Linked DNA regions of Cricetulus griseus. The protein of the gene in region 2 binds, or shares a complex with, the protein of the main gene of each other region. Links are inferred from orthologs where the notes say so. Each region holds a gene or a part of one and is shown on either strand. Other genes may lie near its edges. The genes, in order: Arfip2, Arl1 and Golga4.

Evidence for each region.
Region 1: the proteins of Arl1 (region 2) and Arfip2 are in contact, whole or in part, in a crystal structure (PDB 4DCN), measured with the Homo sapiens proteins. The link is inferred for Cricetulus griseus from reciprocal best matches to the Homo sapiens genes ARL1 and ARFIP2. Residues at the interface, in NP_001168.1 of Homo sapiens: Glu17, Arg19, Gln38, Ile46, Ile49, Gly50, Phe51, Asn52, Val53, Glu54, Thr55, Gln64, Trp66, Ile74, Tyr77, Cys80, Tyr81; in NP_001363487.1 of Homo sapiens: Phe205, Thr212, Lys216, Thr217, Asp220, Asp278, Ile281, Lys282, Phe285, Leu286, Glu288, Asn289, Lys292.
Region 3: the proteins of Arl1 (region 2) and Golga4 are in contact, whole or in part, in a crystal structure (PDB 1UPT), measured with the Homo sapiens proteins. The link is inferred for Cricetulus griseus from reciprocal best matches to the Homo sapiens genes ARL1 and GOLGA4. Residues at the interface, in NP_001168.1 of Homo sapiens: Ile49, Gly50, Phe51, Gln64, Trp66, Ser73, Ile74, Pro76, Tyr77, Cys80, Tyr81, Ser83, Glu115; in NP_002069.2 of Homo sapiens: Thr2173, Glu2174, Glu2176, Tyr2177, Lys2180, Val2181, Glu2184, Glu2190, Thr2193, Lys2196, Val2197, Thr2200, Val2201.

What each region holds. Positions count from the first base shown.
Region 1 is NC_048596.1:94,063,262-94,067,006, forward strand, and holds the start of Arfip2 (arfaptin-2), read left to right. Parts: upstream 1-1,338; 5' UTR 1,339-1,488; exon of another isoform or gene 1,489-1,593; intron 1,594-2,268; 5' UTR 2,269-2,310; coding exon 2,311-2,409; intron 2,410-2,628; coding exon 2,629-2,725; intron 2,726-3,388; coding exon 3,389-3,507; intron 3,508-3,679; coding exon 3,680-3,745. Other genes in the region: Timm10b (mitochondrial import inner membrane translocase subunit Tim10 B), read right to left, coding at 579-755, 919-1,014, 1,162-1,191. UniProt on the Homo sapiens protein: Plays a role in constitutive metalloproteinase (MMP) secretion from the trans Golgi network. May have important functions during vesicle biogenesis at certain cargo subdomains, which could be predominantly utilized by secreted MMPs, such as MMP7 and MMP2.
Region 2 is NW_023276806.1:154,781,023-154,784,667, forward strand, and holds part of Arl1 (ADP-ribosylation factor-like protein 1), read left to right. Parts: intron 1-132; coding exon 133-244; intron 245-3,244; coding exon 3,245-3,423; intron 3,424-3,645. UniProt on the Homo sapiens protein: GTP-binding protein that recruits several effectors, such as golgins, arfaptins and Arf-GEFs to the trans-Golgi network, and modulates their functions at the Golgi complex.
Region 3 is NC_048597.1:225,566,288-225,570,032, forward strand, and holds the start of Golga4 (golgin subfamily A member 4), read left to right. Parts: upstream 1-1,221; 5' UTR 1,222-1,439; coding exon 1,440-1,517; intron 1,518-3,745. UniProt on the Homo sapiens protein: Involved in vesicular trafficking at the Golgi apparatus level. May play a role in delivery of transport vesicles containing GPI-linked proteins from the trans-Golgi network through its interaction with MACF1. Involved in endosome-to-Golgi trafficking.

The DNA.
Region 1 (3,745 bases), on a different chromosome or scaffold from region 2:
CTAGACAATATTCCCACATTCTTACAGGCTTATCTTTGATCTCCTAAGAATTGGTGGCTAAAGCCTATTGTGGTGCTGTTTTCTTCTTCCTCTTGTTGTCTGATATCACATTCTTCCCCTAGATGCAGCACAATTCTTTTTGTATTACAGCTCAGAAGAAAACTAGTTATTATGCAATATATATTCAGGCATTTGAGTTAGGCTCAAGGATAGCCACTGAGAGCTCCCCTTTTGGAACCAATTTCCCATTGCTATTACTAACCTTAAAACTATGTTTTTGCTGGGGATCTGAGAATGCTGAGTTTGTCCTACTACATTACAGAAGGCAATTTCTCAACTGCCAGGGCTGAGGGGAGAAGATAGGCACTAAATGGCAGAATAAAGGTTGGTACCAATAAGTGGACATAAATAAATTCCTGCCCAGAAAATCAACCAGAGTAAAAACCCGGTTTATTGGCTCCAAGAAAAGGAGCAATAGTGCCCAGCTTTCAGGCTCAATCTTTCTGTACAAATTTCGACAAGCCCAAGGTTCATAGAGGAGCCCATCCAAGCACCTTCTCTCCTGGGGCAGGCGATGGCTAGCTGCCTGATGGCGAGTCTCTGGGTTGTTCTGCAGTAACACCTGGCACGGCCGAGGCAGCCTCGTAGTCCGCGATGCGGCGCTGGACAAGGGCGGGCATGAGGTGGACGTAAGCGGCCATGAGGCGGTGGTTAGAATGGATGAGCTTCCCAGCACAGCTGTGTAGACAGGCCTCCTGGAAGGAAGACAGAGGTAAGCAGAGACCAAAAGGGGTCCTGTCAAGCCCTCCTCTCCGGGGCCCCAGCCTAGGGGTGAGGTCATGGGAGACCGAGATGCAAACGGGGGGTGGGAGGTGGACACGTCACGTTGTCAACCTCTGGGGTCCCCACAGTCCCCACCTCCTCAGCGTCCAGAGCTCGGTGGTGCAGGCTGGGCACACAGCGCTGGAAGCACAGTTCTGTCATCCGATTGTAGACCAACAGGAAATCTCGCAACTAAGAGAAAAGCGGATCAAGGCTTCACCACCGCTGAGGGTTCCTGGCGTGCGCAGTGCAGCCTGCCTTCCCCACTGGGGGTTCTTGCATGTACCCCAGAAAACAAACCGCACGTCTAACCCCGAGAACAACTTAGCTCTTACTCACGTTTCTTAGTTGCTGCTGCTGCTGCTCCATCACGCTCGGGGCACGCAGCCCACTTTACTTCCTCCCTGGGGGCGCGGAGTCACCCCGGAAGTAAATTCTCCCTAGTCACCAAGAGCTTCAAGGCGTGGTTCCAGTATCGCCCAGCCCATGTCTGCTAACGTCACCTCCGCCCTTTTGCTCTGCGACGTGGCCGGCTTCTTCTGCCCAGAGGGCACGTCACTTCCGCCGAATCTCTGACCTGCTGCTAAGATCGCGACGGGAACTGGAACCCGAGGTCCCCGCGCGGTCCGGCCCTCGCGCCCTGAGGGGAAGAGTGGCCCGGCCCAGGTGAGAAGGACATACTTGTACGAAAGGAAGTTGAATGCACGAACCTGTGCGGAGGGCAAGATGCCCTGAGCCCTTGGCAAGGATGAGGACACACCTGATGCCCAGGTGTGTGGGGGGGTGGTGGAGGGGACCTCTCACATCTGGAAGGCATAAACTGACTTTGGAAGGGACTGCCTGTGTCCTGGGAAAGAAGCTTTTAACTGACACCGGGAACACACCAGCTGCTTCAACTAAGGCCTGGTGGGGAGGGCCTGAGGGAGGCAGGTGCATGAGATGGAGAAAGGAGAGACCATTTGAAGGAAGAGGGGAAGGAACATCAAAGGATTTGAAAGACCAGGGATTGCAGAGCATGCTTGAGTGGCAAGTGAGCATCCGAGTCTAGGAAAGGGTTTTGCCTTCTGGTAAACATGCCTATGCAGGGCCAAGTTCCCAAAGAGCACAGACATTCCCCTCTGGCCCTCACTGCTGTAATCCCATTGCCTCAGTATCTGACGCATAGTAGGCACTCACTAAGTGTTTGTTGAGTGACTGAATGTGTAAAGGTTACTAAAGGTGAGGTTGGGGTTTGTGAGAAGACACCCAAGGCTTTGGTATACATGCATCTGTAGAAATAATGTACTTGGAAGAGAAGAAATACACATCTCCAGGAAAGTAGGGGCTGATCTCCAGGGACACCCAAGTCCTAACAGACAACCCCTGAAACCTATTAGAACACAGGGAAGGCCTCCTTGTTCTGGAGTGCTGGCCAGTTTCCAGAATTGTCTGTGTTGGGCTTTACAGCGTGCTGGGGTGGAGACCTTGACTCCAGTACCTTCCCTAGCCATGACGGACGGGATCCTAGGGAAGGCAGCCACAATGGAGATCCCAATCCATGGAAATGGTGAAGCTGGGCAGCTTCCTGAAGACGATGGGCTGGAGCAGGTGCTTCTGTTTGATTCTTCTAATTGTTTCAATTTAGCAATCCTGACTCTTGAATGTTTCGCTTTTCCCATCCCAATAGACTTCATTTAGTTAGTCCTCCTTATAGTTTTCAAGTCGTCATTATGATTCTATACAGACTTTACTATATACTGTCTCTATCCCCAAAATATTTCAGCCACCCCCATGTTCCTGAAGTGCCCCCTCTTCTCTGATCTATAGGACCTCCAGCAGGTGATGGTGTCAGGACCCAACCTCAATGAAACTAGCATTGTGTCTGGTGGCTATGGGGGCTCTGGTGATGGACTCATCCCCACAGGTATGAATGATAAGAGACAGGAGGCTTGAGTGGGAGGGAGACTAGGAGGCACATAGAACACATAGGAAAGCGTGAATCATGGATTGGAGAAACTTGAGAACTGCTAGTGTGAAATCCATAGACTGTCCAATCCCAGATCAGCTCTCTGAGCTCATCATCTGCTTCCCACTTGCCATTTAGATTCTAGCTTTCTCAATTGTCTTTTCTTTCCCTGGTGCCACCACCTGAGCCAAGTTAAGACCTATAAGTCACAAGAGCTCTGCAGCTTAAGGCTGATTTACAACTTTGTGAAGCTTCTCAGAGTTTTATAAGAGTCTTATACTGACTAAAATTCTACTTGGAAATACAAACCAGCTTCCCTGTTTTCTGTGCCCACCAGCTTTGACCCTTCCAGTCCCACTCATCATGTTTGCTTCTGTTTCTTCCTTCCCTGTCCACCCAACAACACTCCTACACGACCCCAGGAATGCCAAATACATACATTGAGTTGCTTTGGTTTTCGGGACCTAAGTCCCCGTTCCCCCTAATGAGCAGAAGAATTCAGTTATCTAGATTTCCTCTTTTAGAGAGGTCATTTCATGTGCTGGGAGGGAAGGAAGTGAGGTCACAGAAGTATCTGATTGTATGTGAGAGAAATTGGTGTTAGAGAACTTGATCCTTTAGGGTCTGGCCGCCATCCATCTCACAGCACCTCACCTTCTGGCCCTGGTGATGAGGTGGCCCGGGGCATCGCCGGAGAGAAGTTTGACATCGTCAAGAAATGGGGCATCAACACATATAAGGTAAGAGTCGAGTGCCTCTTCCCAGAAACTCTCCATGGGTACCTTTTCCTTTTCCCCAGATCTTAATACATAGTCTTTTGCTATGACTAAGAGAATGGGGGTGTTGGAGTAGTTACTTGTCGGGGTTGGGGTGGAGTTTAGATTTCTGACCTCCCACCCACTTCCCAATCAGTGCACAAAGCAGCTGTTATCAGAGAGATTTGGCCGAGGCTCCCGGACTGTGGATCTGGAGCTAGAG
Region 2 (3,645 bases):
TGGCATTATTCTGAACAGGAGAGGAGCGGGGCTGGCATGTAATCATTGTCATTGACCCAGTCCAGCATGTAAATTAACATGTTAAGATATTTTCAAGGGATCATGGGTTTTCCATTTTTGAATTTTCTTTAGGCCATACTGGAGATGTTACTATTCAAACACAGACGCAGTCATCTATGTAGTTGACAGTTGTGACCGAGACCGAATTGGCATTTCCAAGTCAGAGTTAGTTGCAATGTTGGAGGTAAGCAAAAATTTAAAAGTTAACATTGAACATTTAAATGAGGAACTAGAGGAATCATTTACATTTGTTTACTTTTTTCTTGTATATATTATCTAGTACAATGGTATTTAAAAAAATATGCAGGAACAGTTTTCCTCCATTTTCCTATTTGTTTTTTAAGGTTTTATTTCTTTCTTTGTATGAATGTTTTGTTTGCATTATGTGTGAGTACCATGTACATGCCTGGTGTCTGTGGAGGTCAGAAGAGCGTATCAGATTTCCTGGGAGTGGAGGTATAGGTGATTGTGAGCCAATGTGTGGGTGCTAAAAGTCGAACTTGGGTCCTTTGCAGGAGCTCCAAGTGCTCTTAACCACTTGTTAACTCTCCCTACCCCCTTAAAGATTTATTTAAAAATATTTTCCTGTGTGTGTGTGTTTGGCTGCATGTATGGTTCTACACCACCTGTGTGCCTGGTGCCTGAAGAGGCTGGAAGATGATGTGCCTAAACCAGGGATTGTAGATGGTGGTAATCTGCTGTGTGAGTGTGGGAATCAAACGGGGGTTCCCTGCATGAGCAGTGTGTGCTCTTAACCAGAGTCATCCCTCTATCCCATTTTGTCTGTCTGTTGCCCTTCCTCCCTTTCTTTTCTTTTTAAAAAGTACACGTTACTTCCTATTCCAGAAATATAGTTGGAAAATGGATGGAATAAAAATCCAACCCTGAAACTTCCTGTAAGGTAGATTTCATTACTCCTTGAAAGTTCAGAGCTCTTTTAATCTGAGTCAACTTAAAAAGAAAAAAAAAATATTAGTGTGTATGTGTGTATGTGCTTGCATATATGTACATGCTTCTACATGGAGATCAGAGCACAACTTCATAGAGTTGGTTCTCATCTTCCTTTATGTAGGTTCCAGAGATGTATTTTTTACATTTTTAAAATTATTTTTTTGAGGTTATAATTACATCATCCAAGAGGCCCCATCCTCCCTGAGGATTTGTCCTCAGTTGATGGTTGCTAGTGAAAGGAGTATGTTTTCTTCAGTAGTGTAGCTACTGCTAAGCACCCATTATTCTGTAAGTAAGTCCAATTAAACTCATTAGGTCACTGAAAAATGTTCCAGGACATCCTCCAAAGCCACAGAGAAACCCTGTCTCGGACTCCCCCCCCCAAAAAAAAAAAGAAAAGGGTTTCTCCTTTCCCTTCTTCCCTCTAAGACCTTCCTTATACTTCTCTCTATAAAACTCATGGCCTCTGTTTTCATTAATTGTTGTTACATATAATGGGTTTTTAAAACAGCAACTTTAGTCCTGGTTCACATTATATGAAGTATTTCAGGGAAATGGATTACTAACTTCATTTTTTAATCTTGAGTCATGTGAGATTATTAGGAGTCATTTGCAACCTCACTGAGACGGGCCTGTACTTACATGCTGTATTCTAGTACTTGGGAGGCAGAGGCAGAGGATCATGAGACCATCCTGGACTTCATAGTTCAAAGTGTTACTCAAAACCACTGTGGGACTTTGAAGATCCCCCATGGATGGCCTCGCCCTCCCTGTGGAGCAGAAAGGGGTTGGGATGGGGGTGGGGGGGTAAGGAAGGAGGGGAGGGAGAGGGAACTGGGATTGACATGTATAAAAGAAGCTTATTTCTAATTAAACAAAACAAACAAAAAAACCCACTGTGGGTGCAGCTCAGCAGAGCACATACCTAGCTTGCACAAGACCTTGGTGTATTCCCTTACTGGAGAGAAGAAAAGTTCACAGAGCAAGAACTGGAAGTCACGTTGTTAGGAAAGAGCTTTTGTGTTCATCAACAGACACTGTTGTGTAAAGTATAGGTCTAGTGCCAGCTTGTACTGTTGACATTAAGACATAAACACAAAGCACTTTAGGTTTTTACCTTCTTTGTATATGTAAATACATTCTAAATTAAATAATGTGTAAAATATGGAAATCAGCCACAGGAATGTGTGAGTAAGTGTAAAATACGAGATTGGGAAAGCCTTTCTGAATCAATGGAAAGATTTACAAAAGCAAAGATAGGTTTAAGTGTAACTCAAAACCCTCCAAGTTCAGATGTGCTAAATGTCACCAAATAAAACAGGAAATCAGGACTGAGCAGAAATCAGTGATGATTGACTAGTGCTTCTTCTTCTTCTTTTTTTTTTTTCTTGAGATAGGGTCTTTTAGCCTTTGTGGGTCTGAACTTGCCTGTCATATATTCTGATTAGCTTCAGACTTGAGCCATTTGCCCCAGCCTACCAAGTACAAGATTGCTGGTTTTTTGTTTTTGTTTTTGTTTTTTGTCGTCCCTCCCCACCCCCCCAGACAGGGTTTCTCTGTGGCTTTGGGTGCTGTCCTGGCACATGCTCTGTATACCAGGTTGGTCTGGAACTCACAGAGATCTGCCTGCCGAGTGCTGGGATTAAAGGTGTGCGCTGCCACTGCCTGGCTAAGATTGCTGTTCTTTCCTTCTTACTCTGCTGTGTATAAATGCTTCTGCCTTATTTAGCATGTGTTAACTGTGCACGGTAGTGGCTTTCTTTGACATTTTCCTGTGTGTTCGTACTGTATTTCGTTTCTATGCACTCCCTTCTGTCTTCCCTTGTTCTCTCTCCTTCCATTCCCACTAACCCCTTCTTCCCAACTGGCCTCCCTTCTGTGCCCGTGTCTTTTTGTTGTTATTGTGACCCAGTGAATTTCATTAGAGTTGTTTATAGGAGTACGGACACACAAACACACATTCTTTTTTTTTTTTTAATATTATGTGTACAGTGCTCGGCTTGCATGTATGCCTGTAGGCCAGAAGAGGGCACCAAATCTCATTACAGATGGTCGTGAGCCACCATGTGGTTGCTGGGAATCGAACTCAGGACCTTTGGAACAGCAGGCAGTGCTCTTAACCGCTGAGCCATCTCTCCAGCCCCAAACACACATTCTTAAACACTATTTTTTGTTTTTCCTCAAGTCAGTGGTGCAAATTAAAAGTAAATGAAGCATTTTCCATTTTATTTAGGAAGAAGAGCTGAGAAAGGCCATTTTAGTGGTGTTTGCAAATAAGCAGGACATGGAGCAGGCCATGACACCCTCAGAAATGGCAAATGCACTTGGGTTACCTGCTCTGAAGGACCGAAAGTGGCAAATATTTAAAACATCAGCAACCAAAGGCACTGGTCTTGATGAAGCCATGGAATGGTAAGTGTCTGTGTTTGAAGCCAGCTGTGCACGTGTATGGGAAGCTTCCTATAGGATAGTGTTGTTCTTCCCCAGTGTCTTGGTATGTAGCCCAGGATATGATCCTGCTTCAGCCTCCTTAGTGTGGGACCAGTGTGCATTACCACACTGGCATATGATGCAATGTTGATTTTTCTTGGGGATAACATTTAGATAGCAGCTAATAGGCAACTCTTCCAGCTT
Region 3 (3,745 bases), on a different chromosome or scaffold from region 2:
CTCTGTCTGTCTCTCTCTCCTCTCTCTCCCTCTCTGTCTTTCCCTCTCTCCCTCTCTCTCTCTCCCTCTCTCCTCTCTCTCTCCTCTCTCTCTGTCTCTCTCTCTCTCCCTCTCTCTCTCTCTCTCTCTCTCTCTCTCTCTCTCTCTCTCTCTCTCTCTCTCTCTCTCTCTCTCTCTCTCTCTCTCTCTGTGCCTGAGGTCAGGAGCTCACTATGTAGTGTAGCTCTGGCTGGCCTAGACTCACAGAGCTCAAACAGCCTCAGCTTTTCAAGTGCTGGGATTAATCGTGTGTGTCAGCATGCCCAGATCTTCATGTACTCTCCAAAGTATCAGAACTGAGCGGATGCCATTCAGTCAGTAACGGGGCCGAGTCCAGAGTGGTGGTGAGGAATTTCACACGGGGCATTGACAAGCAGCGGTCACAGGGTATTTTGTATCGTGCAAGTGTAGGAGCCTTTCTAGCAGATGGGAGTGTCTGGGGTGGTGGGGAGACGGCTCCTCCGGAGTGCAGCCGCAGGTATTAACCACTAAGGGCTGAGAATTCGGACCTGTAGACCTCAGGCAGCTACTCTGGAGGCAGGAAAATCACTTCAGCTCATAAATTCGAAGTCAGTCTACCGACACACGGTCAAATTGTTTATTTTTTGAGGTAGGGTCTCATTGTGGCTCAAACTGGCCTTAAAGTGTTAAGTGGCCAAGGATGACCTTGAACTTAGGGTCCTACTGTCTCCACCTCTGGATGTTGGGTTTACAGGAATACACCATCGCACCCAGTGTATGCGGTGCTGAGGATAGAACCCAAGCTCTCCTGCGTATGGTAGGCAAGCACTCTACATCCTCAGCCCCAGGACCTTCTCTTAAAATCAACCAAGCAACTACCCACCCACCCACCCACCCACCCAAAGCCCTCAGAGAGAATCCTTACAGTAATCGTACTAACGCACACTGAACACACGCCCGACTCCCTAGCTCCACCCTCTCTCACCCCAGCCTTCTTCACTTGGGTGCTCAACCGGTGTCCCCCCACCCCACCCCACCCCGCTGGGTTGCGCAGCTCCGAGAGCCTCCGCCGGCGTCAGCGCAGGCGGGATCCCGGCCGTGCGCGCATGCTCGCCCGCGCTCGCCCGCTCGCCCGCGCCTCTGCCACTCTTGTCCTCCGCGGCGCTCCGTAGCCAGCTCTTGTCAGGCTCCACGTCGGCCGCGCAGGCGCCCTGGGCGCGTTCACCTGCTGCCGTTGTCGCCGCCGCCGCTGACGGGGGCTGGATGGGGCGCCGAGGGCAGCCAGTGGCGCCCAGAAAGAAGCGACGCGGCGGCGGCGACGCCGACGCCCGCAGGACGAGCGCCCCGAGGTGCCCGCGAGCTCCACAGGAAGGCGGCGAGGCCCGGGCCCGGCCGCCCGCGGGTAGAGACGCCGCCGGCCGCTCGCCGCTCGCCGCGCCATGTTCAAGAAGCTGAAGCAGAGGATCAGCGAGGAGCAGCAGCAGCTGCAGCCGCCGCAGGCGTCAGCTCCTGCCCAGGTGCGCCCGGTGCCGGCCGCCGAGCCGCCGAGCCCCGGGGGGGGGTGACGTTCCTCCGTGACCTTTGACCTCCGCCCCCCAGGACCTGGGTCTGCGGCCGTCCTGGCGCGGTGGGGACCCGGGCCTGGCTACTCCCACACCCCCGTCCCCGCCGTGACGTCTGACTTACTCGCGGTGCTCCCGCTTAGGACCGGCCCGGCCCGAGGATGGGGTGCGCGGCGGGTTCGAGTCCGGCGTGGGGTGTGACCTCTGACCCCCCCCCCGGCCGCGGGACCCGGAGCCCGGGACGGCCAGGATCCCCCGAGTGCCCCGCTTGCGAGCGAACCCCCGATGGAGCAGCGAGGGCGGACGGTCGAGCCGCTCGCCTGCCGGAGCCCGCCCGGGGCCGGTTCCAGCCTCCGAGGCTGTCACGAGTTAGTCACTTCGCAGAACCTGGGTGACGGCGGGCGGCGGGCGGGCACGGAGCCTGCGGCCGCCCGGCTCTTGCTGCTTTTTAGGGGGCGTGTGTGTTTCGGTCCAGGGAAAGGGGGGCGTGTTCGTGTGAGAAGCGGACTCAGGGTTTCGACGCCACCACCGATGCTGCTGCTGAAACTCCCCGGGCTTTTCTGAGTCTCAGTGGGTTGAGCACCGATTCCTCCCTCCCTTCCTTTGAGGGATCCTAGAACCCTAGAAAGTCGGTGCTCCAAGAAAGGCGGCGTCTTGGCTAATTGGGGGAGAGCACTAAGGGTGTGTAAATATAAAACGACCCGGCATCCTGTTTCTAGAAACTTATTCCGAGAAGGTTTAGGATGTGAAAAGATTTAGTTGTACGGTTTTCATTTTAGTGTGTGTGTGTGTGTGTGTGTGTGTGTGTACGTGTGTGTGTGTGTATACGTATGTGTGTGTGTATACGTATGTGTGTGTGTATACGTATGTGTGTGTGTACGTGTGTGTGTGTGTGTACGTGTGTGTGTGTACGTGTGGGTGTGTGTGTGTGTACGTGTGGGTGTGTGTACGTGTGTGTGTGTGTGTGTGTGTGTGTACGTGTGGGTGTGTGTACGGGTGTGTGTACGTGTGGGTGTACGTGTGGGTGTGTGTACGTGGGTGTGTGTACGTGTGGGTGTGTGTACATGTGGGTGTGTGTGTGTACGTGTGGGTGTGGAGGCCAGAGGACAAGCGTGGCGTCAATCCTCAGGCATTGTACTTTTTATTTTACCATTTTAAAAACAGTTTTGGATTTAATTCTTTTATCTGTGTGAGTGTTTCACCTGTGTGTGTCTGGATGCCATGCGCATGCCAAGTGCTCACAGAGGCCAGAAGAGGCTGTTGTATCTCAAGGAACTTGAGTCATGTGTGGTTGTGAGCCGTCGTGTCGGTTCTGGGAACTGAACCTTGCTTGGCCTTCTGCAAGAGCAACAAATTCTCATCGCCTCTGAGCCGTCTTTCCAGAATCCCTCCCCCAACTTTTTTTTTTTTTTTTTTTTTTTGATATAAAAGTTTCTCCCTGGCCTGGAAGTCACCAAATAGGTTGGTCTCTCTGACCTGAAAACCCTGGGATTCACCTGTCTCTGCCTCCTGAGCACTGGGATTACAAGCATGTGCCACCAACCTGTGTTTCATTATTTTTAATAATTCATTTTTGTTTTACATGCATTGGTGTTTTTGCTTGGAAGTGTTTATGTGTAAAGGTCCCCTGGAACTGGACTTACAGACAGTTGTGAGCTTCCCTGTGGGTCCTGGGATTGAACTGGGGTCTTCTGGAAGAGCATTTCTCCAGCCCCCACACTTGTCTTTTTCAGCCTGGGTTCTGAGATGGAACTCAAGCATTTTGCCATCAGAGCTGTCTTGCTAGCCCTGATGCTGTTTTAGTGTTGGCATTCTGGGGCAGGTGAAGAATTGGCTGAATAAATCTTTCAGGCAGCATTAAGAACAAACACCATTGGTTTGAGTCCCTGCGGGGTATCTTATTGAGCAGTTAACAGATATTTTAACCTCACACAAACCTATGAGGTAGATATTATTCCTCCTGTAGGTGAAGTTGTAAAGCCCAAAGATGACCTAATTGGTACACAGTATCAGAGCTGCAGACAAGTATTGTTTACATAGAATGGTAGATGTTACAGGAGACAGTTTAACTGCAGCATGTAAACTCTGACCTACTTTTTGTGACAAAAAGAAATGTATGTATTTTTATAAGTGGCAAGGTGCCTTATATCTGTTGGGAGGTCTGAAGGATTTCATATGCAGAT